3 linked regions of the Tamandua tetradactyla genome follow. The protein of the gene in region 3 purifies or fractionates together with the protein of the main gene of each other region. This does not show direct contact. Links are inferred from orthologs where the notes say so. Each region holds a gene or a part of one and is shown on either strand. Other genes may lie near its edges. The genes, in order: SH2D1B, SH2D1A and CD84.

Region 1 (8,470 bases), about 1.8 Mb from region 3:
TGGAGCCCTGAGGAAGCATTACTTCTTTAAATCTCCACTACTTATTCCCCTGTCTGGGGCAGAATTGAAACAATGTTTACCTTTGTCCAAGGTAAATTGAAGCCCTTGCTCAGATCCAGGACCCAGCAATCTGAATTTGTAATAAAAAACCATAGTCAGTGATCCGCATGCCACCCATTTTCTTGGGGAAGAAGATTTTTATGTTCCTTTCTGTCCTCAGTGATCTGGCCAGGATCTGGACCCCAAGGTGGCCCACTGCAAGAGGGAGGATCTGGACTCCAAGGTGGCAGCCACTGCACAGAGATAACAACTGACTGTTCTTTATTGTAGTTTATCAGCCTCTTCCTCCTGCTCCACCCTGGATGCTGGACAGTGTCCTTCTGGCTCCAGACCCCAGGACACTTGGCTTCCACTGTTCCTGCCTGTTTAATGGCTGTTTGGTGGAAAGATTGATTGCTGGAGCTCCTTACTCCACCATCTTCCCAGAAAGTTCTTCTCTGTATGTGAAATATATTCAAAATAGTAATACCAAATTGTTACTAAAAATTGAACTAATGAATGAGGATTAATCTCATCTTTTAGGTATGTTGGGAAACACTTTCAGAGAAAAATGTTTCATTTTGCTTTAAAAAATCATTTATTTTAGTCATCCAGCCATAGAAAATCAATTCATGGAATATAAATATTTACTTCTTATTAATAAATCAACATTGAATCATATCACGCATAGAAAAAGAAGTGAGTGTGCCCTGTACTGCCCGGACGGTATTAGGAATGACACATTTGACAAAGAAACAACGTGGCCTAAAAAAAACGAAACAGCATCTTGGTGAGTTAAAAAAACGACTGACGTACTAACTATTCAAAGTGGAAGATATTGTATTAAGATTGTAAACTCGAATTCTATATTCTAAAGCCAGTAGAAATAATTTTCCATATGATTATATAACGAAAGTGTTTTATAGTTACATATACATTATTTTAGTTTGTTTTCTCTCTTTTAAGGAGCCTATTTATTTATTTATTTATTTTTTCCTTGTGAAAACAAAAAACTCATATGTTACACAAATCAAACTAGCATATAAATATAAATTATGGCATGTTTTAATGCATTGTCTCAACTGTTTCTGATAGCTATTTCATAATGAGTTCACAAGCCATCCTTAAGTAAAAAGTCACATTTATTTTTTATATATAAAATATATATGTAAAATATATATAAATATATAAAAATATTTATTTTTAATATATAAAACAATTACATGATTTCATACTCAAAACTAGATATCAAATTTTATTTAGAAATGTCTCACCTCTATGCCCACGTCACCTACATTATTGACATTTTTTGTTTTTATTTAGTCCTAGTTTTATTTTCTTTTGCAAATGAGTAAATGCACGTTTATTTGCAGCTCCCATACTCTGTATGTATTACTGTTTTTACCTTACTGCTTTTACCTAATAATATATTCTGAAAATGACTTGGTATCAGCATATAAAGATCTTCCTCATCTGATTTTTTTTTTTTTTTTTTTTTTTTTTTTTTTTTTTTTTAAAGGAAAGACAGAGAGAAGGAAGGAAGGATAGAAGGAAGGAAGGGAGGAAGAAAGGGAAACATTTTCTTGTTTTATTGTATTTCGTTTCTCCGCCTTCGCTACATGGGCTGGGGCCGGGAATCGAACCGAGGTCCTCCGGCATAGCAGGCAAGCACTTTGCCCGCTGAGCCACCGCGGCCCGCCCTTCCTCATCTGATTTTATGACTGCATATTAATATTCCATTGTTGGATTATTACAGTTTATTTAGTAGAAGAAATTCAGAAGAATTTTGGTGTGTCTAATCCTTTGCTACTAAATACATTACCTTGTGCCTAAGTCATTTTGTATTTCTGCCTTTGATCTATCAGAGGGTAAATGCTTATGTAGTTTTTCTAGATATTGCCAAACTCTCCTCCATTGGAGTTGTAACCATTTTGAATTCCCACAAACAATGTATGAGATGTTCTATTTCATCTCAGCATCACTAGCCCAGTATGTTTTCACTTTTCATTTTCGTCAATGTGATAGAGACTTTCAGTATGGAATTAGCTTGCATTACTCTTATTTTGAGTGAGGATGGTAGAATTTGTTTTTGAAATAGGAAGAAAGGCAAGCAAGGTTCTATGATGAACAAGCATGCATGCAATTATTTCCTCCATATGTCAAAAAGCATCTTCACACAAAACTTGGTATACCCAATGTTCTCTTCCATCAATAGTAATTCTCTCCTCAACTTCCATAATTTCCAGTATTCCATTATTTACTATAATTAATAGCATATTACCCAAGGCCACACAAGTAGCAAAAAAAGTAAACTTGGACTTGAGAGCATGTCTTTCTGATATCAAGTTCTTTGATTAGTATAATTCCATTACACTCACAGCAGAGCAGTGGAACTTGCAAGGAAGAAAAATGACCTGCTACAGGGAAATTCCATGGGAGATGCAACCCAAGAGTGGTTGGACAGATATGGGGACAACCAATAGGTTGAGCCTGCAATCTTGAGTCTTGCCTCTATGAAGCTTATTCCTGCAAAGGTTAAGCGAAGCCTATTGATAAGTATGCCTAAGAGTCACCCCCAGAGAACCTCTTTTATTGTTCAGATGTGGCCTCTCTCCCTAAGCCCAAGTTGGCAGGTGAATTCACTGCCCTGCCCCCTACATAGGACATGACTCCCAGGGATGTAAATCTCCCTGGCATATGGGACCTGACTCCTGGGGATGAGCCGGGACCTGGCATCATGGGATTGAGAAAGCCCTCTTGACCAATAGCGGAAAGAGAGAAATGGGACAAAATAAAGTCTCAATGGCTGAGAGATTTCAGAGTTGAGAGGTTATCTAGGATGTATACAGATATCCCTTTTTAGTTTATGGTGTATTGGAGTAGCTAGAGGGAAGTACTTGAAACCATTGAACTGTGTTCCAGTAGCCTTATTTCTTGAAGATGATTTTATAACTATATGGCTTTTTATAATGTGGTTGTGTGATTGTGAAAACCTTGTGTCTGATGCTCCTTTTATCCTGGGTATGGGCAAATGACTAAAAAAAAAAAGTTAAAAAAACTAAATAAAAAATAGGGGGAGATAAAGGTAAAAATTGGGTAGGTTGAAATACTGGCAGTCAGTGAGAGGGAGGGGCAAGGGGCCTGGGATATATGAGTTCATTTTCTTTCTTTTTATTTCTTTTTCTGGGGTGATGCAAATGTTCTAAAAGATGTTCGTGGTGAAGAATACACAACTATGTGATGATATTGCAAGCCACTGATTGTATAATATGGTTGGACTTATATGTGTGGATATTTCTCAATAAAAATATTTTTTAAAAGAAGAGTAGTTGGACAGCTCTTAGGCAAAGCAGCGAGATGAAATAACCATCTGGGATAAGACTGCAGAGTTATATTGGTAAGGGAGAAGAATGAATCATGAGCACATGGTTCTATTTTTAAAGTTATATAGTTGAGAGACGTAATGATTCCCACAGATATTTAAGTGGGAGCAGCTGAACAGGGAGAGAAATTCACATATGGTTTATAATGATTATCATCGTATGGTGGTGTGCAAGTATTATGTTTGGAAAGTATTATGTACCCTAGAAAAGCCATGTTTTAATCCTGATTCTGTCTTATGGAGGCAGCTGTTTCTTTTAATCCCTATTCAGTTTTGTAGGCTGGAGACTTGATTAGATTATCTACACGGAGCTGTGATACACCCAATTGTGGGTATTAATTTTTTATTAGATGAAGATGTGATTCCACCCATTCCAGGTGGGTCTTGATTAGATTACTAGAGCCTTTAAAAGGGAAAACATTTTGGAGAAACGGCAGAAACGAGCAAGCCTGGAGAAATGACAGAAGCCTCAGAGCTGATAGAAACTTCACAGCAGAGCTGACACAGATGAGAACATGTGGAGAACAGAAACAAGGATATCTGGAAATGCTTGGAGCCCAGCAGACGTCACCATGAGATGTTAAGCAAGCCAGAACCTGGAGAGAGCCAAGGGAAGCCGAGAGATGAAAGTCAGCCCTGGAGAAGCAAAGTGAGGAACCCCCACAGGTACAGAGGCTGAAAGCAAGGGAGCCCAGGAGCAAGGGACCAGAGTGCTTTCCCAGCTGCAGAGGTGTTGCAGATCCATCAGTCTTCCTTGAATTAAGGTATCTTTCCCTGGACCCCTTAGTTTGGACATTTCCACAAGCTTAGAACTGTAAACTTATAACTTTACAGTTTTTTGTAAAAGCCACTCCAGTTCTGGGATATTGCTTTCTGGCAGCTTGCAAACTAACACAGGTGGTAATTGTTAAGTAAACAAAAGTTAAATAAATGTAATCCAGTTAAAAACATGATAGGTATGCTTGCATGGCTTATTCCATCTGAAATTAATATACAGGATGGTTTTGCTGATCAAAAAGGCCTTGGGAATTATAATCAGGACTTATTCACACTCAGATAACAAAAGCCAACAGATTCTCTACCTCTCCCAAGGATATCAGCTGATCAGCAGAAATAGAATGAATTGCCTCATCAGCACCAGGTGTCTGCTGGTTTAAAGGGGGCCAGGTGTCTCTGGCTAGATAGATTTGTCTTGTTCTTTCTTCATGGGGGCACATCAGGGCTCTCCTCCAGGACAGGAACTTCAAAGGACCTACAGGTCTCTAAATCCAGGCCCAATAAACTCTTTTCTTTCACCTGGAGAAATATCCCCTCTCTAAGCTTGTATATTTGGATATCCCTCCCACCAGCACCAGCTCCTCCTTCCCCAAAGGCATAATGCCTGAGGATATAAAGAGCCTTGGTTCTCAGTGGCGTGGAGCTTAGCCATGGGATGGGGTCCTCCCTGAGAGTGTCCAGTTGATTTCTCTTCCCATTGATGTTCTCCATTTTTCAGGTAGACTCATGAAAGTCTGGTCCTTTCAATTGGCTCACTGTGTCTGGACATATCTAAATTCATGCAGCACCCAAATGTTTTGAACACCGTTCTGGGCTAAGCATAGCCCAATCATAGGAAGCTCCAGCTGAAAATCGGCAGCTATTACAGCAAAAGCAGCGGTACTCCTTCTGGAGGAGACAGCCAGTAGCCAGAGAAGGTTAAAAAAAAAAAAAATGGTGCTATACGGTGATACATGAGACTACAACCCAGATCTGGAGAGGATGACTTCAACATTGCAGCCACTGCTGAAGAGCGTGATTCCATTGCATACTCAGAGGAATTCTCATGCATGTCTGTGAGTCAAAACAACTCACACTCAGTCCATTTGTAGGTTGAAATGGCTTGGTCACTTCACCCCCACCTTTTCATTTCCTGGAGCTTGTGAAGCAGGCTAAGTCCTACAGACCTTGTCTCACTACTCACAGACAGAGCGGAAGGAGTATTGCCACAGACTCCATCAGGCCAGTTGCTTCCACTTCTCTCCCCAGAACCGTCCCTTGACTCAAGACTGGATTTTCAGCTGACAAGGCACCCTGAGATATGGCAGGGGCCCCCCTGGATCTGCCCTATTACCATGGCCCTCTGAACAAGAGGGACTGTGAGACCTTGCTGCTCAATGGAGGGGTGGACGGCAACTTTCTGTTAAGAGACAGCGAGTCTGTGCCAGGAGTGCTGTGCCTCTGTGTCTCGTGAGTAGCCTCGTCTCCCCCACACTGGAAACCTTATATCGAATGGAATAATGGCAACCAAATATACAAAGATGTTATTTCACTTTGCTTTGCAGCCCAAATGACTAGAGCGAGAAATAGCTAGACACTGCCAGGAAGAGACGGAAGGAAGGCATCTGCCTTTGCTCTCCCACCTGCCTCTCTCTCTCCCTGGTGTAAACGCTGCATGATCAGATCCCCTGCAGCAGCAGAAGAGGGGCTGGTGGGGAAGGGAAGGGGGCAGGTAACGCAGGAGATAGGGAGGTGGGGTGTGGGCAGGTAGTGGAGAGAAGGTAGGAATGCGAGAAAGGCCCTTTTCTCTGCAGGTCTCTTTATTTGGTATGGCAAAGGCCTTGCTTGAAATTTCAATCTGAAAGACCAAGTTGTCACTCCTTCTGTCACTTCCACATAAAAGTCTTGAAATACTGATAATATTTCACATTTTTATTTAGATTTGTAAAGATCTGTACAGCATTTCCTTTCATCCTTCTTGAGGTCTATAAGGCAAGGATAAGCAGTCACCATTTCATAGGTGAAGAAACAGAGACCCACCTTTCTCAAATGACTTTTCGGCATTAAAACTCAGCTAGCATTTCCAAAACATCTGAGTTAAGTGTAAAATTCCAGCTCTGGGTATCAGAGCTACCCTGCTGAAGGAGTTGTTTATACTGAGTTTAGAAAGCAATCCCAGGCAGATAGTGGAAGCCTCTTAGCTTGTATTCTCTTGTATTCTTGTATTCTCTCTTGTGTATTCTCTTCTTTTTAAAATGGAGACCGCCAAACCTTTCCCCTTCTTTCTGTTATGCAAATTGAAACCCAAGTGTCTCCATGGATAAACTTTTGTGCTTCTTAGAATTAGAGAGCTATGAAGACAGAAATGACTGCCATGACTAATAGAATAGGTAGGGATATATTTCTTCTTTAAATGGTGTTAGGGATTCAGTTATGAAACTGTCGTGGGTTATCAACTTTCATTTTCAAGTTGCAATTGAGGTTGAGCATGTTTTCATATTTTTTTTAATCCATTGGGAATTCTCTTTTGAGAACTCCTTAGTCATTTCCTTTACCCACTGTTAGCTTGTGTTGTTCTCTTTTTATTAACGTTTTTCAAATTCTGTGTATAAAGATAAAGCATTTTTTCCAAAAAGAGACCCAGACACAAAGGAAAACTACAGACTGATTTCACTTGTATCAATTTGTACTAAACTAAACTATTAACACATAGAAACACATTAAAGTAGAAAATATACTATGATCAAGAGTCGTACAATCCAGGAAATCTAGGAGGTTTCAACGTTAGGAAAATTATTAATTTAATTGCATATTAATAGGTCAAAGATAACAAACTATATGACTTACTCAAATTTGCTTCACAAGTAGTAGATAAAATTCAATATCCATCTCTCCAATTAGATACACACGCATGCTCACACATGGATGCACTTACACACCCCTTATACACTCCTAATCAAAGGCCAAATGGAACACTAGAAAAATTCCTGTTACGGTAGTGAATGAGACAATGATGCTCATTATCAGCACTACTATGTAACATTTTTCAGGAGATACCAGCATGTGCAAATCAATAAGGTTCAAAATTGAAAAGGAAGATGCAAATTTATTATCATTTGAAGTTGGTATAATTGTATACCTTTGAAATCCAAGATTTTACTGGAAAGAAAAATCAAAAACTCCTACTAGAAACTTGAAGAAAATTCAGTTAGCGCACGTGTTTCCAAATTAAAATGTAAAAATAAATAGCTTTCCTACATAGAAACAATAACCAGTAAGAAAATGTAATAAAATAACCTGTTTATATTAGCAAAATATATAAAAATAATGCTCAGGAATAAATGTAACAGGAAATGTGCAAGACTTAAATGAAGAAAACTTAAATATCTACTGAGGGCTCACAAGAAGACTAGAATGAGTGGAAAGACTCAATTTTGGAAGCATGTCAGTTCATCGCAAATTAATCTATAAATTCAGCATTTTCCAGCAAAAGTAACAGAATTTAAAAAATTTGTCCAAGGATAATAAGGTTCATCCAAGTGGGAGGAGGGGGCAAAGAACTTGCTGGAATAGCTGGAAATTTTTTGATAAAAGAAGGGGATAGAATAAAACTACCAAACATAATATATTATAAAACTACAGTAATTAAAAGAGTTTAATAGTACTAAATAAATAGAATTTGGCGTATGATTAAAATAGTATTTCAAATTAATAAAGAAGGGGCAGGCCACGGTGGCTCAGCAGGCAGAGTTCTCGCCTGTCATGCTAGAGACCCGGGTTCGATTTCCAGGGCCTGCCCATGCAAAAACAAAACAAAACAAAACAAAAACCCAAATCAATAAAGAAAAGAATGACAATTAATGATATTAGGACACTTGGCTGGTTCACATAGAATAAAATAAATTTGAATCCCGTTCTTACTTCTAGAAGTAAAATTACTGTATAATGGTTCAAATACTTATTCTATTTTTAAAAAAATGAACCTATGGGTATTAAAAGAAAATAGGGACTATTAAAAAGTACTGCTTTAAGTGTAAAGGCCTTCCTAAGTGACAAATAAAATCCAGGCACCATAGATAAAAAGATTAGTATATATGAGCGTAGTAAAAAACTAAGATCAAACAACTTCAAAGACAATTGACAAGCTGTTAGAAAAAAAAAATTGCATTAACATATAAAGAGCTTCTAAAAATCAGTAGAAAAATGGATAAAGTAAAAGGGCAGGAGATTCTTAGAAAAAGAAATGTATGGAAAAAAACTAGTTGTCACTCATAATTAAAGACAAATTAAAAG
Region 2 (7,969 bases), on a different chromosome or scaffold from region 3:
AGTTCACTTGTCAACTTGATTAGTTATGATGTCCAGTTGTTTGGTCAAGCAAGCACTGGTCTGATTATGAGGGTAGTGAGGGTAGTTAACAGATTTAAATCATGGGTCAGTTGATTGCATCTATGGTTGATTACACCTACAAGCAACAAAGGAGATTACTTTCAGCAATGATAGAATTCTGGTCCAATCTGTTGAAGGCCTTAAGGGGAGAACTGATGGTTTCAACAGTCAGAAAGAAGAATTCTCTCTCTACTTCAGCCAGCCAGCTTCTCCTGGGAAATTCATCAAAACTTACATTAGAGTTTCCAAATTGCAGCTTGCCCTTTGGAACTTGGGCTTGCCAATCCCCATGACCACCTGAGCCAATTCCTATAGTAAATCTAATAATAGTTTCATAGATATATCCTTTCGATTGTGTTTCTTTGGAGACTCTTGACTTATAAACTGCATAACCAAATTAGTCTAGGATAGAGAATGCCCAAATCTTTTAAAAACAAACCAATCAGTGTTCTGTGACTTAGCAAGGATAAGCTGATGATTCAGATTCCAGATGGTAAGCCTGAGAGAACAGACTTTCACTCTGTAATATCCTTCCAAAAGAGGTAAAAAGACCCAAGCAAAAGCCGTATAGCTGATCTCATAAGGCATGTAGACATAGGTCTCCTGTAAGTCAGGGCAGGGGAAGAGTTGATACTTGAATGTAAGAATATTGCAGAAGCCAGAATTATCCTTCTTAGATAGGAGACTGAAGTCTGAGCCATCCAGGGCAGTGATAGCAGAATTAGTGGTGGAAGGCAGAAGACGATGGTGGTGAAATGCACAGGATCTGTAGCCAGCTGGCCTGTATTCAAATCCTGGGTCTGACACAGACAAGTAGTTCAACCTTGAGTAGGTTACTTAGCCTCTCTGAGTTTTGGCTTCTTTGTTGGTAACATGGGATAATAATGGTATCTGCTTCATAGGACTGTAGATATAAATACAGGAGATAATATATACAAAGTGTTTAGCAGGATGCCTGGAATGTTGTAAGCAATTAACAAATATTAACTATTGCTTTTACTCCAAGAATAAAACCTCAAAATTAGGCAGAATTTCAGCTAGAATTAGGGAGCCCACTTTGAGTTCATGAAGGAGGTAAAATTAGGACAAGTAAAAGGAATTGTATATAGTAGACAGAAATATATAAAACTTGCTGCTTCTAATAGGATGCGCAGGTTTAGAATATAGGTCATTAGTTGTCCCACTACTATGCGGCAGAGCACCATCCTTTCCTCTATCACAGCCCTTAAAGGAATTGTAATTGTCTGTTTGCTGGTCTGTTTTCCTCAGTAGACTGAGTTCCTTGAGAGCAGACACTGTGTTTTCTTTTCTTCTCTCTACTAGGTATATATTTTTAGTTGATGCTCAAAAATGTTGGTTGAAAGAATAAACACATTTAAAGCAGGCTTAAATAAACATAGACCAACAACTCTATCTCTGGTTTCTCACTTACAAAATAGCATTAAAAAATGGCCTCATAGGTAAAGCCAGACATTATTGAAAGGAAGTGATCTTTTTTTTAAAGACATTTTAAAATTTTCTCTCATTTTTGTGAAGGAAGTGACTTTTAGTAAATTCTGAAAGAATGTATAAACTCACCACAGGTGACAATATCATAACACTGTCACAGTAGAATTCACACCTAGAAATGAGTTAGTTGAAGAACAAAGTTAGGTTTGAAAGGTTAGAGAAAAAGATTTTGAAATGTCAGAACCACTCTATAAAATTGACCACCCTTGGCATCATCCCTTTAATCTACCTGGGCTTGAGAATAGCCTAGGGCATTTGAAATGAAGACAATTAGCACCTCAGACCAGGCATCCATGTGCAAAATTCTGTCACTTCTCAGAGATCTCAGGAGATGACAAGTTTGGATAAGAAGACTTTTATTCTTGGTTGACAATTCTGAATTCAATGCTTTTATATTATATTTGATTTATGCAATATCTGTATTCTAAAAGGTTGTAGTTTGCTTTAAATTGTGCAGGTCTCTTTCTCCACACCATGACTAATTTCTTCGGTTATTTTAAAACAAGAACAAAAATCTATACCCTATTGTGTAAGACAAGGAAATAGCTCTTGCTTCTTGCACACAAATATTAACTCAGTGCATTTCCCCTTTGTTTCTCTCTAATGCATGCTAAACTTTCATTTAAAGCATAAAATGTTAAAGCTGAAAGTGACCTTAAGGGCCATCTGGTTCAACTGCATTTTACAGGTGGGGAAAAATGAGGCTTGGAGAGAGGAAGTGATTTAGTGACAAAACATGGTGTATAGTTGGACTATCATAGTTACTGAATTAATGGTTTTTCCAATTCATTTTTCTCCTTCATGGGTGGGCCCTGAAGCATGTAGAACCAAATTTTAATGTGTGTGTGCAAAAGTGAATTTCAGTATTTTTTCTGTATTTTCTTGAGAATGTTAATCATTTTTTCATTCATTCAATAAATATTATCTATAATGTACCGGCCACTGGGGATGTAGTGATGAACAAAGAACAAAATGTCCTGCAATCATGGACTGCATTCTGCTCCTATAGTGGTTTATATTCTTTTTTTTGGGGGGGGGCGCTCATTCTTCCTAATTCTTTCTCTTTTGTTATCTCCGTTGGAGGGAGGAAGAAAGTCATTTCAGTTCTTCCTTTCTCTACAATGCAAGCTCAGTGTAGAGATCTGAATTTGCTAAAGCCAGGTTTAGTACTGGTGTAGCATTAGAGTGAAGATGTTAGTATTTTCCATCAACACTGCAGTAGTGGGGTGGCTCAGCTGTCAGTTTGCTTTTGAGATGACAATGAGGTACTGGATGTGAGCGTTGTACTATTACCTTATAATTTATCTGTTCTGTTTTTTACAACTTTAGTTGTGCTGAATGCCATCATACCTCGCTGCTTTGATAGGTGTGCTATTTTAGCAACACAAAACAAGCAAAGGAAAGAAGAATGCATGGTATACTTCTGCTGTCGGATTCAGGTTGCTCTGTTCCTAAGTTTGTGGATGATTTGTTTAGAGTTGTACTGAGAATAAAAAGTTAGGTTTTGTTTTTTTACCTATGTAACACCAAATGTTCTCACAGATCACCTCACAGGTAGGCTGTTGCCCATATGGACTGATATGAAGGGGTACCTTTCCCTATCTTTTCCTTTCATGATTGAAATACCACTAATGCGATTGATTCCTCTGGGCTAATCATTTGCCCACTCAAAATACAAAGACTCCAAGGAGGACTAACTTTTTAAGTCCTTAACATTGGAATATCCATTCACTTATCAGATTAATTGCTTTCTTGATCCAAAATATAAGAAGGAGTGAGGCAGAGTTGGCAAAAAAGAAGAAAAGTGAGGTAGGAAGGTGATGAGACATATTATCCAATTCCCTGGAGTCATCCCCAAATGTAACCTTGGATGCTATATATTTATTTTTGGTGTTGAAAATGACTGCAGGAGGCTCTGTTCACACTTTAAGTACTATGATTGCTAGATTCTATATGAATTATCATTCAGACTGGGCACTCTTCAATCAAGAAGTTGAGTTGCTACCAGCTACCACCTTAAATCTTAGAAGATTGTTCTTAATTGTAATGGGTAGAGAGCAAATATTTGGCTTTAGCATAAAGCAGGTCTGTGCATTTGATTCATTAGTAGGACAAGTGAGGATTTGAAAACTGTTCTCCCTATTGAACTCTGAGCCTTGTCATGTTTTCAAAGAATTGGCACTGAAGTTGTGGAAGGGATACAGCAGACAACAAAACTTCAGTTATTTAAATTTCAGTTTAAAAAATACTTTACATAATCTAAAGGTAAATGTATAAGTCTGTTCAGTTTTAGGCATTAGCAAAGTCTTATTCTGTTAAAAATGGAGAAAGCTTTTGGGAAATATTATTTAACAGCATATTTTGAAATAGAAGCGATGTTTATTTCAGATAAGGAAAAGAAAGTTGAAATATTTTTAAAAATTAATGATAGTTTAGCATCATTTTAAGAAAAAAATATTCTCTAGAAAAAAAAACAGAGAATAAGAGTTACCGCAAAATCCTCAACACTTCGAAATGATTTAAAACAGGCTTTATGCCCCAAATGCTGAAAAGTGGTTCTTATACACCAGAGAGTACATGTATGTCCACATAAAGGCAATGCAACAATTAGATAATTCATTCTCTCATCTACAGCCCATCAAGTGGATAAATCTGGGACATAGGCTGTGATTTTTGTACTCCAACTGCATTTTTGGATTTTAGACAAGATAGGAAAAATCGGTATTTGCTCAGGTTCAAGGTTGTTCAAGATAGCTACACAAGGGAGGAGTTGGAGGAAAAGCATAGGAGAGGGTCAGTAGCAGTAGGAGGGTGAAGAGGGGAAAATGCTTCCTTAAAGTCCAATGCTCACCCACCATGTCTGATTCCTAGGAGCCTCACGGCCACATTCAGTATGCACTGATAATACTGATAGCTTGCGTGTATAATACTGATAGCTTGGTGTCACTGTTTTTGGTCCTTTCGTTCAATCTCTGTCAGTATGTTTCCACTCCACATGAGGGCCTGTACAACTTGCCTCTATCATCCATCCCTTTGGGGGAGCTAGTTAAAGTTGCATCATCCCTGCCGGCCCCTGGGAAAACTGCATGAGCAACATTGCCAAGCATCACTGTGTGTGTGCAAGGATCTGTGTTAGCAGTGCAGCTGAAATCTTCTTGAAAGGGCCATCATCTTCCAACATTCTTCCCTTCTCCATATGAACCTTTTAGTTGGAGGACGGGGAGAGGGAGCGAGCTCCGAGGCGATAACCAAGCTGCTAAATTGCTGAGTTGGTTTTAGTTGAAGTGTGAGAAGGTTTTCACGCACACTGACAACATCCTGTTGTTCGGGTGCATTTCTCTGTTTCTTGCACATCTGGCTGAACTGGGAGACAGGTGGCTGACTCGGCCTGACTATAGCTGCAGTGGCATCTCTTTTATCAGACGTTTTGACCCACACGAATCCACCAGGTCATGGATGCAGTGACCGTGTATCACGGCAAAATTAGCCGGGAAACCGGGGAGAAGCTCCTGCTTGCTACAGGTCTGGACGGCAGCTATCTGCTAAGGGACAGTGAGAGCGTCCCGGGAGTCTACTGCCTGTGTGTGCTGTGAGTATGCAGCCGTGGGGACCTACGGAGGGCAAAGGTGGTGGGTGGGCTGTGGTGGTCGGGCTCAGGCAAGAACACAGGTTGTGGGAGTTTGTGGCCTGAAGGCCTCCTCAGGTCCAGCCCTGGTCCATGGCACACCATACTTCAGCCTAGACAACTCAGGATTTCATTCGCCTGCTCCAGAAAGGCCTCACCAGGGATTTGGGGGGATGGCTACAGAAAATGCCCTTTTGGGTGGGAAAATGTGACCGGGAATTTACCTTCACTTTAAGAAAGACCATGTATCTCATAGAGATGAGCAAGGTGGAGCCCTGGGATGGTGCCTGGGTTAGATTTGGGGTCACAGCTCCTGAGAGAAGGAAAGGTCTTTCTGAGGCTACTTTTAAAGGGATTTGGAGGCCTTATCTCAGACAGACCATCAGATTCAAGGAGAGGAGGAAGATAAGAAACTGAATCCATTACGTGAAGACTGCAACTCATCAGGTCGGGATAGCAGATGTTTGTGAGTCAAACTGCTCTCTGGATCTGCTTAATTTGCTTCCTTTTAGAAGATTTGTGTGTAGGGCAGGGGATTTCAGAAATAGGACCCTTAAAAAAAAGCTAGGTGTGACCACAGTTGTAAAGAGCAGAGAAGGAAAACACTCTTGTTATGATTCAGCCTTGCCTTTTACCTAGGCATGTTTCAGTCTGAATTCCCATTTTGAATCAGATGTATCTTCATCTTTGCTCCAGGGCTCCAGAGACAGATATATCTGAGACCTAATCTTGTGCTAGGCAGATGCTAGGTTTGTGACCTCAGGCAAGTTAATCTCTCAGTTCTCTCAACCATAAAATGGGTGTAATACTACTAAGTACCTCAGCATGGATTAAATGCCATACTGCATGCAAAAATACTTGGCACTGGGATCTGACCCACAGTAAATATTCAATGTGAGGCATCCTTTGTTCAGTCTGATTTCTTTTAGTACATACGCATGGGTGTATTTCTAGGCAAGGGCCTAGCACTTTTTGGCAGCAAAATAAAAACAATGATGAAAATACCAGTCAGTCCCTCAAGCAGTCTCCTGACAGAAACAAAATGAGGGAAAATGCTTTGTAGTAAATTCAGTATCTAATGACACACTGCAAGATTTTGAGGTATGTTCTGGGTTAGTGAAGAAATGTTACATCAAAGTTGGTGTTAGGGACTTTTAATTGCATATATTTTTAAGAAATGGGAAATCTATGTTTGTGGCGGCTCTCAATTAACCAGAATATACCTATTCTCTGGCCATACTAAGTGGATTTATTATAAAAGATTCAAGGAAAATATGTGGAAGCTATTGAATCTCTTGGGCATGAATTTTTATGTTTTGCTTATAATATTGTCTTTCCTGGTTAGGAGTTAAGGAAGGTCGTTGAAAGCCAACTGATGTTTTCAGACTCTTATTAAAAGAAGGTGGAAGAGTGAGTGGGCAAGTGAAAGGGGCTGCTTTAAAAGTTAACAAAAGATGTGACGGGTTCCTTAATCTAGAGGTACAAAAAGAGGGTACAAAAGAAGCCTTAGCAGGAGAGGGAGAGCAGGGGATGGTATGTGGCAAGACTCACCTAAGGCTTCAGCCACACTTCCTTGCTGTTTCTCAAGTATGTCAGGCACGCTCTTTCATTAGGGTCTTTGCACTTGTTCCTTTTGTCAAAAATATATTCAATTCACATATTTCTTCAGCTCTGTCTTTCTTCAGAGGGAACTTTCTTGATCACTCTATCTAAAATAAGTGTTCTCTCCTGGTTTGTCGCTATCCCTTTATGTCTCTTCAAGGAGCTTAAAACTACCTGACATTCGCTTGTTTACTTATTTATCGTTGGGCTTTCCTGCTAAAACATAATCTCCATGGCAGCAGGGACAGTGTGTTTACCGCTGTGTCTCCAGCACTAGGAACACTGTCTGAAACCTCTTGGGCCTGTGGAGACAAATTCTGTTCTTTACCGCAAAGGCAAAGATGCAGGCCCTGGGGAAGTCACTTAATTTTCTGGGCCTTTGTTTCCATATTTGTAAAACAGGAATTGTGATGCATGCCCTACTTTCAGTATAAAATTGGTATAAAGTAAAATATGCAAGAGAAAAGGACAACTTTAGCCTTTTGCCGAGACCATGTCAGGAATTAATTTAGGCAGATAAGAAATTCTCAAACATTTAGTTTTCACTCAAAGTGAATCTTGTATAAATACAGTTTTTATAACTCTTAGTTCTCCATGAAAACCTCCTTATGAAGTAGTACAAAATAGAGTTAGGCAAATTGGGGGTCCTTGGGCTGTTAGAGTGATAGCTAGACTGTGCTGCAGAGGGAAGATACATTGCCTTTTTTTTTTTTTTGATAACATTGTCTTTTATCAGTTTATTAACCTTTTTGAGTCCAGGGTGCCTTCTGATAAACAAAAATATTTCATGCTCCCTTTTGCCACTATACTGTAATAACAACAAAATCAGATTTTATTTTGAAATGCACCATGTACTTATTTTAAAACAAAATATTTAGGTTTATCATATAAACTAAAGAGTGGAAATAAAGTAGATGTAAAATAGAAATACTTATGTAAATGGTGCTATATACATATGCCATAAACACATGATCAGCAAGATAGAGCTAAACAAACATGCATTCATTGCAGGTTCACTTGAAATGGTTTATCAGTCTACTTTTCTTTTTTCTCACCATCCAAGAAGGTTTTCTTGAACTTTATTTTCTGTATTTTTATTGTAGGAGTAACAATTGCCTTTCGAATTATATGTACCTCTTTCCTACTTCTGGATTCTCCTAATCACGATCTTTA
Region 3 (8,381 bases):
GTCCCTAGGCCTGGGTTTGGGAGTAGAGGTATGGGGAGAAGGGATAGTCATTTTCACAAGAAACAAGCATCAAGCTAGTTTAGAGTTTATAGTGTTGACAATCAAAGCTCATTGGACAATGCTCAGTATAAACTAAGATCTTCTGAAAGTAACCTGGATTTAAAACATGCTTGTGCTTTTCTAAAGATTGGTAATTTTTTATTGACAGAAATTAGGATGCTTATCAAGAGACCTGAGAAAAATCCAGGCCCTCAAAATTGCCCTTACATTTTGAAGTGGGTAATTCATTATTCTACTCTCAGTCCTAAGCCACGGTCCCAGTGGATGCCCAGCTCTCGGTGGCTGAAGTCTCCCACAAAGGTGACTCCACTGAAGAACTGAAGTGATGTTTGCAGAGTACTTTTGAGAAATCATCTTGGAATGAAAAGGGGCCTCAGTTTTCATTATAGGAACTCTTCTGGCTGCAGATGAAAGTATTTCTTCTTACACTTTTTGGCTAAATGACCTCTAACAGTCTGTGTCTCATTCTCTTCATCTGTAAAATGGGGATATTATTGTGAGGATTAAGCATTAAACAAAGTAATAAATGCAGACTACTTAGACAAATGCCAGACAAATAGTCTGGCACTACTATTCTTGATGGGAAATAGAAAAAGGGAGCAGGAGGTGGGGTTGAAGAAACTGGAGCAAGGAAGAGTTGGAGAAAGGAGGATATAAAAGAGTGTGTGAAAACATGTAGAGGGGAAAGGATGTGGGACAAAAGTGATGGACTCTTTTGTCCTTCACCCCAAAGGGTGAGTGGCTGGTAGGATATTAGAGAAGAGTCAGAGTCACGATATTCCTGAAGTCATGATCAGAAAGTTGAGATCAGAGCATGAGACCATGAGTCTTGATTCTTAGAGAAAATATTTCCAGCATGGAGCAGTCATGAGTTTGCACACTCAGAGTTCTCTTAGTGATTTCAGGGGACTACGATGATTTCTAACTTCATCTTTCCATTGCTTCTTGGCAGCTTCAAAGGCTCTTAACCTAGAGAAGTGCACAACACTGAGCCTTTGTCTTCAACTTCAAAATGGGGAAACTATCAGTACCTATCCAATACTGTGGTTTTAAGAATCAAAATAATGCAGGTGTCAACACTGATGTTGACACCTGAGCCCAATGCTGACTATAAGGGGCCAGGTATGGCGGCAGGAAGAATTTGGAGCAGATTCTCACACTCAGGGAGTATTTGTGGAATAATCCTTAAGAGGTGAACAGATTCTTTCAGCAAAGATGAATGGAATGTGAAAACACTTCTGGTTTTACTACAAAAACAAGTCCTCACTCTCCCATTTCATGTGCTCCTGACAAAATGAATATCTTATCCCTGATTTCCTTTTCCACAGACCCAATAGACTACACCAAAACCAAAACTCCCAGCACCTTTTCTCCTGCCCCTATTCCTTGCACCATCCTAAGCAAAGGAGACCTGCCTAGGATCTCTGTGCAATAAAGACCTTGTTCTTTCTAGTACTGTGTTTCAAGGAAGTATGAAAAACAACAGCATTAGCTAATATTTGTAGAGCACTTACTATATTCCAGCTATTGTGTCAAGTGTTGTACATGAATTATTTTGATTCTTAAAATGACACTATTGGATAGGTAGTTGAAGACACAGGCTCAGAGAGGTTAGGTTATTTGCTTAAAGTCACAAAGCTAATAGGTGAATAATTTACTATTTTACTAGCTGATTTTAGAATTGTATACTAGAGCAGCCATTTATTTTAGTATTATTAGCCCTTTGAAGAATATCAAGGATTTGAAAATTTAATGATGAGGGGGTCACTTAGAGCAGAAAGCCCTCTAACTTGGAATCAGGACCAATGCCCATTTCCAACTCTACTAGCTACTTGTTGTGAAAACTTCAAGTGAATCACTGGATCTATAAATTTTAGTTTACTTTTATTTGCTGATGGGATTAATATTATCTTGCCTATCTCAATGATTTTACTATGGACAACCAAAGTAAATTTTTATGCCTAAGAACATAGGCATAAAAATTGTCGAATACTTTGTAAATTAAGTTGGACTAAATGTCTCCCTGTTCAGCCCTTCTCTGGAACTAGAGTTTCACTTGGATTCTAGTCAGTCGTTTATCCCCTCTACTTGCGTTTTCTGTCTGCCATGCCAGAGTGACAAACATAGGCTCCCAAAACTAGATCTGTCTAGTTGCAATCACCACGAAGCTCAAAGTAAAGGAACCATAGTTTTAAGAGGTCAAAAGAACCAGAGGGGCTAAGGTGCATTGATTCTATTTTTTACATATCTAACCCACTAGGTTTCTTAGGTTCTAACTCATGTCCCGAATTTACTAATGCATTTCCAGAGTTGGTAAAAGATACTAGAAACAAAGATTTAGAAATGTCAGCCATAGTCAATTCCTATATAAAAGCACAACTGTTTGAATTTAATGAGATAATAACGTGAAATGACAAAGCACTTTCAGACCTTGTTAATGTTACATAGTTTTCTTTGTAATAACAACAACCAATTTTTGTTTTGTCCCTTATAGTTTACCATCAAGCCATAAGTGAGAAAAACAGGGTTTTTAGTTCAAGTTCCCCACCTTTTTTTTTGAGACCTAATTTATTGTAAAATAGAAATAATAATCTCTTACCCATTTATTTTTGAGAGATTTTGAAGGATTAAAGCACAGCAATTGCTCTGAACATGCTTTGAAAATAAAAGGAGCTTGTAGAGGTGATGTTTTTACAATAATAAGTCATGCATCACTCTAATCTTATAGAGCAATGGAAGGTAATTTGGAAGGACATATCTCTGTCAAAAGTTATATAACACATTCTAAAGCCAAGGATTAATTGCTTTTAAATTACTCAAAGTTTTGAATTATCTATGCATTTTCTGAACTTTGTGGCTGGGTCTACCAAGGACTAATTCTCCTGAGCAAAGGGATTTGTCTCAAACCTTTAAAGACCACACACAGGAAAAGTTCAGAAATATCAGCTTTAAAGCTGAAAACCATTTAGGTTTGGATCTTAGGTCTCTCCCCAGCCAGGTGGATCCATTTTCAGAATAGAATATTTTAAGCGAAGGTGTTCTGTTAAAAATACATATCAAAATGGCATTTCCATGTTTTCCTTAAAAGCAATTTCTAAAGCTTTGTGGAAAAGTAGGAGGGAGTCAGAAAGGTCAGAACTCACAAGTCTGCAGCCAAAGAAGCAAGATCCATAAGCTGCGCTGAGCCATTCTCTCCAAGGGTCTAATCTTCTGTAAGCAAGACTAGCACTCTTCCAACCAAGAGTCAGTTCTGCTTAAAGTTTTTTGTCCTTTTTATAGCCGCATTTCAAAAAAGGGAAGTGTGAGCTAACGTTGGTCTTTCTTTTATGGGACTAGTTTTTTTCTATTATATAACATGCTGTACCCAGCATTAATTAATTCTTTTAACAATTATTTATTGAGTGCCTACTATGTATCAGGCGCTATTCTGGGTAATAACAATTTAAAGACTAACAAAAGCAAATGATCTCCCTCCTTTCATGAAGGTTATACTTCTACTGGGGAGAACAATGATTATCAGGCAATTCCAACATAGTGTGGTATGTGTTGCAATTAGGGAAATACAGGGAACTCTGCGAACGGTTGGGACAGCTAACCAAGGACAGGGGGAGTTTGAGAAAGCTTCAGCTGAAGGGACTAAAAAAATCAAGCTGAGAAAGACCTGAAGGCATTATTAGATGAAAGGTATTGGGGAATGTGGAAGTTGAAGAATGTTTTGACACACAATAGGAGCTAAATAAATGGTAGCAATTACTATTATAATTATGAACATACATTATTAGGGACAGAGTAAGGGTTTGATAAAGTTCAGAACTGAAAGAGATTTTGAGTCTATTCTATTTTGCAGATTGGGAAACCGAGGCTCAGAATGAAGGAAAATGATTTTTCCTAAGATCACACAGTAAATTAGTCAATTCAGGTAAAGACCAGCAAATGCCACTAGGTAAATATGAGCTTATAGGCATGAAAGAAAAGTGCAGGGAGGTATCTTGGGCTGGGGTCAAGCCACCTGCAACACCAGACTGTTCCACCCCATTAGAAGAATAAGAATGACCTTGTGGTTTTGGGGTGGGGGGATGGGTGATGAAAATAAACATGTGGGTTCCTAAACCTAGCAGTATAAACATAAGCCTGACTATCTGGGGGAGCTCTGGGAAAGCTGGGGGAAGTAAGATTGTGCACAGCCTTTCCCACTGAGAGGAAGAGTTCTCTTGCCAGCTAGCTTATTTCTAGTCAACCTGATGTGATAGGGTCATTCTGTGGACAATCTTGCTTATCATTCTCCAAATATACTTGATTAGCATTGAATAGTTGAGTGCCTTTATGTAGATATGGTAAACTGGGAAGCTGTTTGGCCCAAAGAAGTATTAAAAGTAAAAATGGGATCTCTTAAATTCTTATTATTTCACTTCACTAGATTAAACCACACCACTTTCACCTTTTTAGCAAGCACATCTTCCTGAAAGACTCCACGGGCAAAAATACACATTTATCCCACGTTATTAGTTGTACAGAGAAAGAAGAAGGAAGAAAGAGAACATGAAGTTATCAGCAGTTAAACCCTTGAATTCATATTCTCTTTTTTCCCTTATTCCTTCTTTGTAGGAATATTTCTTCTTTCCTTAGCATTTTTTGGAAGTGGGGATACATGGGCTAGGAATTCCTTTACCATTAAAATGCTTGCCTGCTCGCATGCCTATGTCTTTAAAAATCCTAGGCTGATTTCTTATTTAAGGTCTTAGCTCCAGGGATATTTATTAAGAAAATGCTGGCTTTTGAGACTTCTTCTCTTGATGAGGATGCAGAAGGATTCCATTAATGAATACACATAATATTTTAAGAAATATATACAAATCTAGATTTTTTCTGTCAGTCATAATTAATGAGTATTACTATCCCCACCTCCTAGCAAGATATTTACATGTACTTATTCCTCTTAGCCTCTCATTTTGTTTAAATAGATAGTAACTTTATTTCCTTATTATATTTTTTCCCAGCATTTTCTTCTGTTTTAGGAATCCTCTCCTAGGAATGAACTTATTAACGTTATTTTTGTGCAATAAAATATATATTGATTGTCAACAATTATTGAAATTTACTATTATTTGTTTCTTTGCTCAACAGTATGCCTTGATTCCCACAATTCCCTCCTTTTTGGAAATCCTTATCTTAGCATATTCTTTACCTTCTTCGAATATGCCTGAGTAAAATTTTTTTAAATGTACCCATTCTGAATACATAAATATCTGCAAATATCTTCAAATTGTTTTGCACTGTTATGTAAATAGCAATTTAGCTGGTTATGAGCTCCATCTTTCTACCACTTAGTTTTGTAAATGAGAAAATATATACCAGGTTGATTCTTGTTCTTTTCATTTTCTGTGTGGAAACATCTAGACTTTTTTCTTTATCCTTGAGGTTTTAGATTTTACTAGGATATGTTCAGGTGTGTTTTCTTTACATATTTCTGGCCAGCTTCCAATTGTTTTTTAAAACTGATGGTTCAAGCCTTCCTTCAACAAAGGAAATTTTTCTCCTATATCTTTTTTTTTTTTTACTTTTCAAATTATATAATATAGCATATATACAAAGCAAAGAAAGAAAAAAGCAACAGTTTTCAAAGCACTCTTCAACAAGTAGTCACAGGGCAGATCCCAGAATTTGTCATGGGCTGCCATGCCATCCTCTCAGATTTTTCCTTTTAGCTTCTCCTGAATATAGGAGGCTAGGCAGTTCCAAGATGGTGGCTTAGTGAGGTGTAGAATTTAGTCCATCCTCTAGGGCAGCTAGTAAATAGCCAGGAAAAGTACAGAACAACTGTTGAGGCCACATCAATGACCAGACACACACAGCATACACCAGTCTGGACAAGCTGAACCAGCTGTGATCCCACACAGAACTGTAAGTCCCACAAGCTGCCGAAGTCAGCGCCCCACCCCTACAGGCTGGTTCATGGAGGGAAAAGGAAAGAGGCTTTACTAACAGCAAGGGTTTACCTCAATCAAGTTCCAATTGTGGAACTAATTAACAAATTCTGACTATTAAAAATAGTCCCCCAATGCAGATAAACCTCAAACAACAGCTAAAGGTACTAGGGGTTTTTGCCATGGCACAGAGTGGGCAGGGCTGATGGAAAAATAAACAAACAAACAAAAGCAGAGACTTTTTGGATTGGATAACACAAAATAGTTGAAAAGGGCTGGACCTTATAGGAAAAGGTGTGTGTGGTGGTGGTGGGGTGGGGGCACATAGAACCTAAAGATACATAGAGCAATTTACCAACTTAAGCTCCTGATTAGCAAACCCAAGGAATGGGGGCTCTGCTTTGAAAAGGATTTGTTTTTGCTTTGTTTCTACATAATAACCCATTAGATAGGACTGCAAGGCTTCTCAGGCTTAACTGCCCCAGACGAGGGCAGAATTAAGCTTGTCTGAGAGACAAAGAGGCTGGTCAGGTGAAAGGAATTAATTTCCTGGAGGCTGTGCCTTTCCCAGGAGAGAGGTGGGTTCCAGCTCTGGTGGAATCCCTCCCTCAAGGAATTCAGACCTCCAGGACTGGAAAATGGAAGCAATTAAATCCAGCCTACAAACTCTCCTCTGTCTCAACCACGCCCCCAGCAGGGAGAGTCTGCTTAAGTTAAAGGCACTGCATCACTTTATACTGGTGGGAAACTGCAGGCAGACAAGCACCACATACTGGGCAGGATAGGAAAAACATAGAATGTAGAGGCTTCATAGGAAAATCTCTCAAACTGCTGGGTCTCACCCTCAGGGAAAACTGATGCAGGTGACTCCTTCCTCCTGAAAGGAGGCCAGTCTGGTCCAGGAAAATCCGACTGGGGTCTATAATATCTCAGTAGGCCCTCCTGAAAAAAAAGTCTCCATACAGGCAGGGCAAGAAACAGAAAAACAAGAACTGAAAAATTCTTATCTGTTAAACAAAACCAATGCTAGAGGTCTAGAATAAGCTGAACTGAATGTCATAGAAAACAAAATCATCCAGCAAGAAAATCCTAGGTAAAAGAGTGAAAACAATCTCCAGAATACAATAATTAAGGAAATCAAATGCCTAAACACCAGCAAAAAATGAGTCATACTAGGAAAATTGAAGATATGGCCCAGTCAAAGGAACAAACCAACAATTCAAATGATATACAGGAGTTGAAACAACTAATTCAGGATGTTTAAACAGACACAGAAAATCTCAACAAAAATCAAATCAGTGAATTGAGGGAGGATATAAAGAAGGCAATGGGTGAACAACAACAACAAAAAATTGATAGTCAAAAAAAAATCACAGAATTTATGGGAATGAAGGTCACAGTAGAAGAGATGCAGAAAAAAAAAAGATGGAAACCTACAACATTAAATTTGGAGAGGCAGAAGAAAGGATTAGTGACTAGAGGACTGGACATCTGGAATCTGACATACAAAAGAAGATATAGGGAAAAGAATGGAAAAATATGAACAGGGACTCAGGGAATAGAATGGCAACATGAATGTGTGAATATATGTGTTATGAGCATCCCAGAAGGAGAAGAGAAGGGAAAAGGAGGAGAATGATCATGGAGGAAATTATCATTGAAAATTTCCATCTCTTATGAGAGACATAAAATTACAAATCCAAAAACTGCAGCATACCCCAAATAGAATTGATCCAAATAGACATACTCCAAGATACTTACTAATCAGACTGTCAGATGTCAAAGAGAAAGAGAATTTTGAAAGCAGCAGAGAACAGCAATCCATCACATACAAGGGAAGCCCAATAAGACTATGTGTAGATTTCTCAGAAAAAAACCATGGAGGTGAGAAGACAGTGGGATGATTTATTTAAGATCCTAAAAGAGAAAAGCTGCCAACCAAGAACTTTATACCTAGCAAAACTGTCCTTCAAAAATGAGGGGAAAATTAAAACTTTTCAGACAAAAAAATCACTGAGGGAATTTGTGACCAAGAGACTGGCTCTGCAAGCAATACTATAGGCAGCACTAGGGGCAAATAGGGAAAGACAGGAGAGAAAGAAGTGTAGAAATGGAGAACTGGAGAAGTGGAGAAGAGTGTAGAAATGAAGACGACCAGTAAAGGTAAAAAGAGAAAAAAAAAAATAGATATGACCTATAAAATCCAAAAGGCAAAATGGTAGAAGAAAGCACTGCTTTTACAGTAATGACACTAAATATTAATGGATTAAACTCCCCAATCAAAAGATATAGACTGGGAGGATGGATTAAAAAACAGGACCCATCCATATGCTGTCTACAGGTGACTCATTTTAGACCCAAGGACAAACGTAGATTGAAGTGAAAGGTTGGGAAAAG

The links.
Region 1: the proteins of CD84 (region 3) and SH2D1B purify together in Homo sapiens (affinity purification with western blotting; 3 studies listed by BioGRID and IntAct, with this or other methods). This does not show direct contact. The link is inferred for Tamandua tetradactyla from reciprocal best matches to the Homo sapiens genes CD84 and SH2D1B.
Region 2: the proteins of CD84 (region 3) and SH2D1A purify together in Homo sapiens (affinity purification with western blotting; 4 studies listed by BioGRID and IntAct, with this or other methods). This does not show direct contact. The link is inferred for Tamandua tetradactyla from reciprocal best matches to the Homo sapiens genes CD84 and SH2D1A.

Annotation. Positions count from the first base shown.
Region 1 is NC_135330.1:15,552,656-15,561,125, reverse strand, and holds the start of SH2D1B (SH2 domain-containing protein 1B), read left to right. Parts: upstream 1-5,348; 5' UTR 5,349-5,498; coding exon 5,499-5,647; intron 5,648-8,470. UniProt on the Homo sapiens protein: Cytoplasmic adapter regulating receptors of the signaling lymphocytic activation molecule (SLAM) family such as CD84, SLAMF1, LY9 and CD244. In SLAM signaling seems to cooperate with SH2D1A/SAP.
Region 2 is NC_135353.1:40,834,775-40,842,743, reverse strand, and holds the start of SH2D1A (SH2 domain-containing protein 1A), read left to right. Parts: upstream 1-4,836; 5' UTR 4,837-5,021; coding exon 5,022-5,158; intron 5,159-7,969.
Region 3 is NC_135330.1:13,723,740-13,732,120, forward strand, and holds the start of CD84 (SLAM family member 5), read right to left. Parts: upstream 3,283-8,381; 5' UTR 3,250-3,282; coding exon 3,204-3,249; intron 1-3,203. UniProt on the Homo sapiens protein: Self-ligand receptor of the signaling lymphocytic activation molecule (SLAM) family.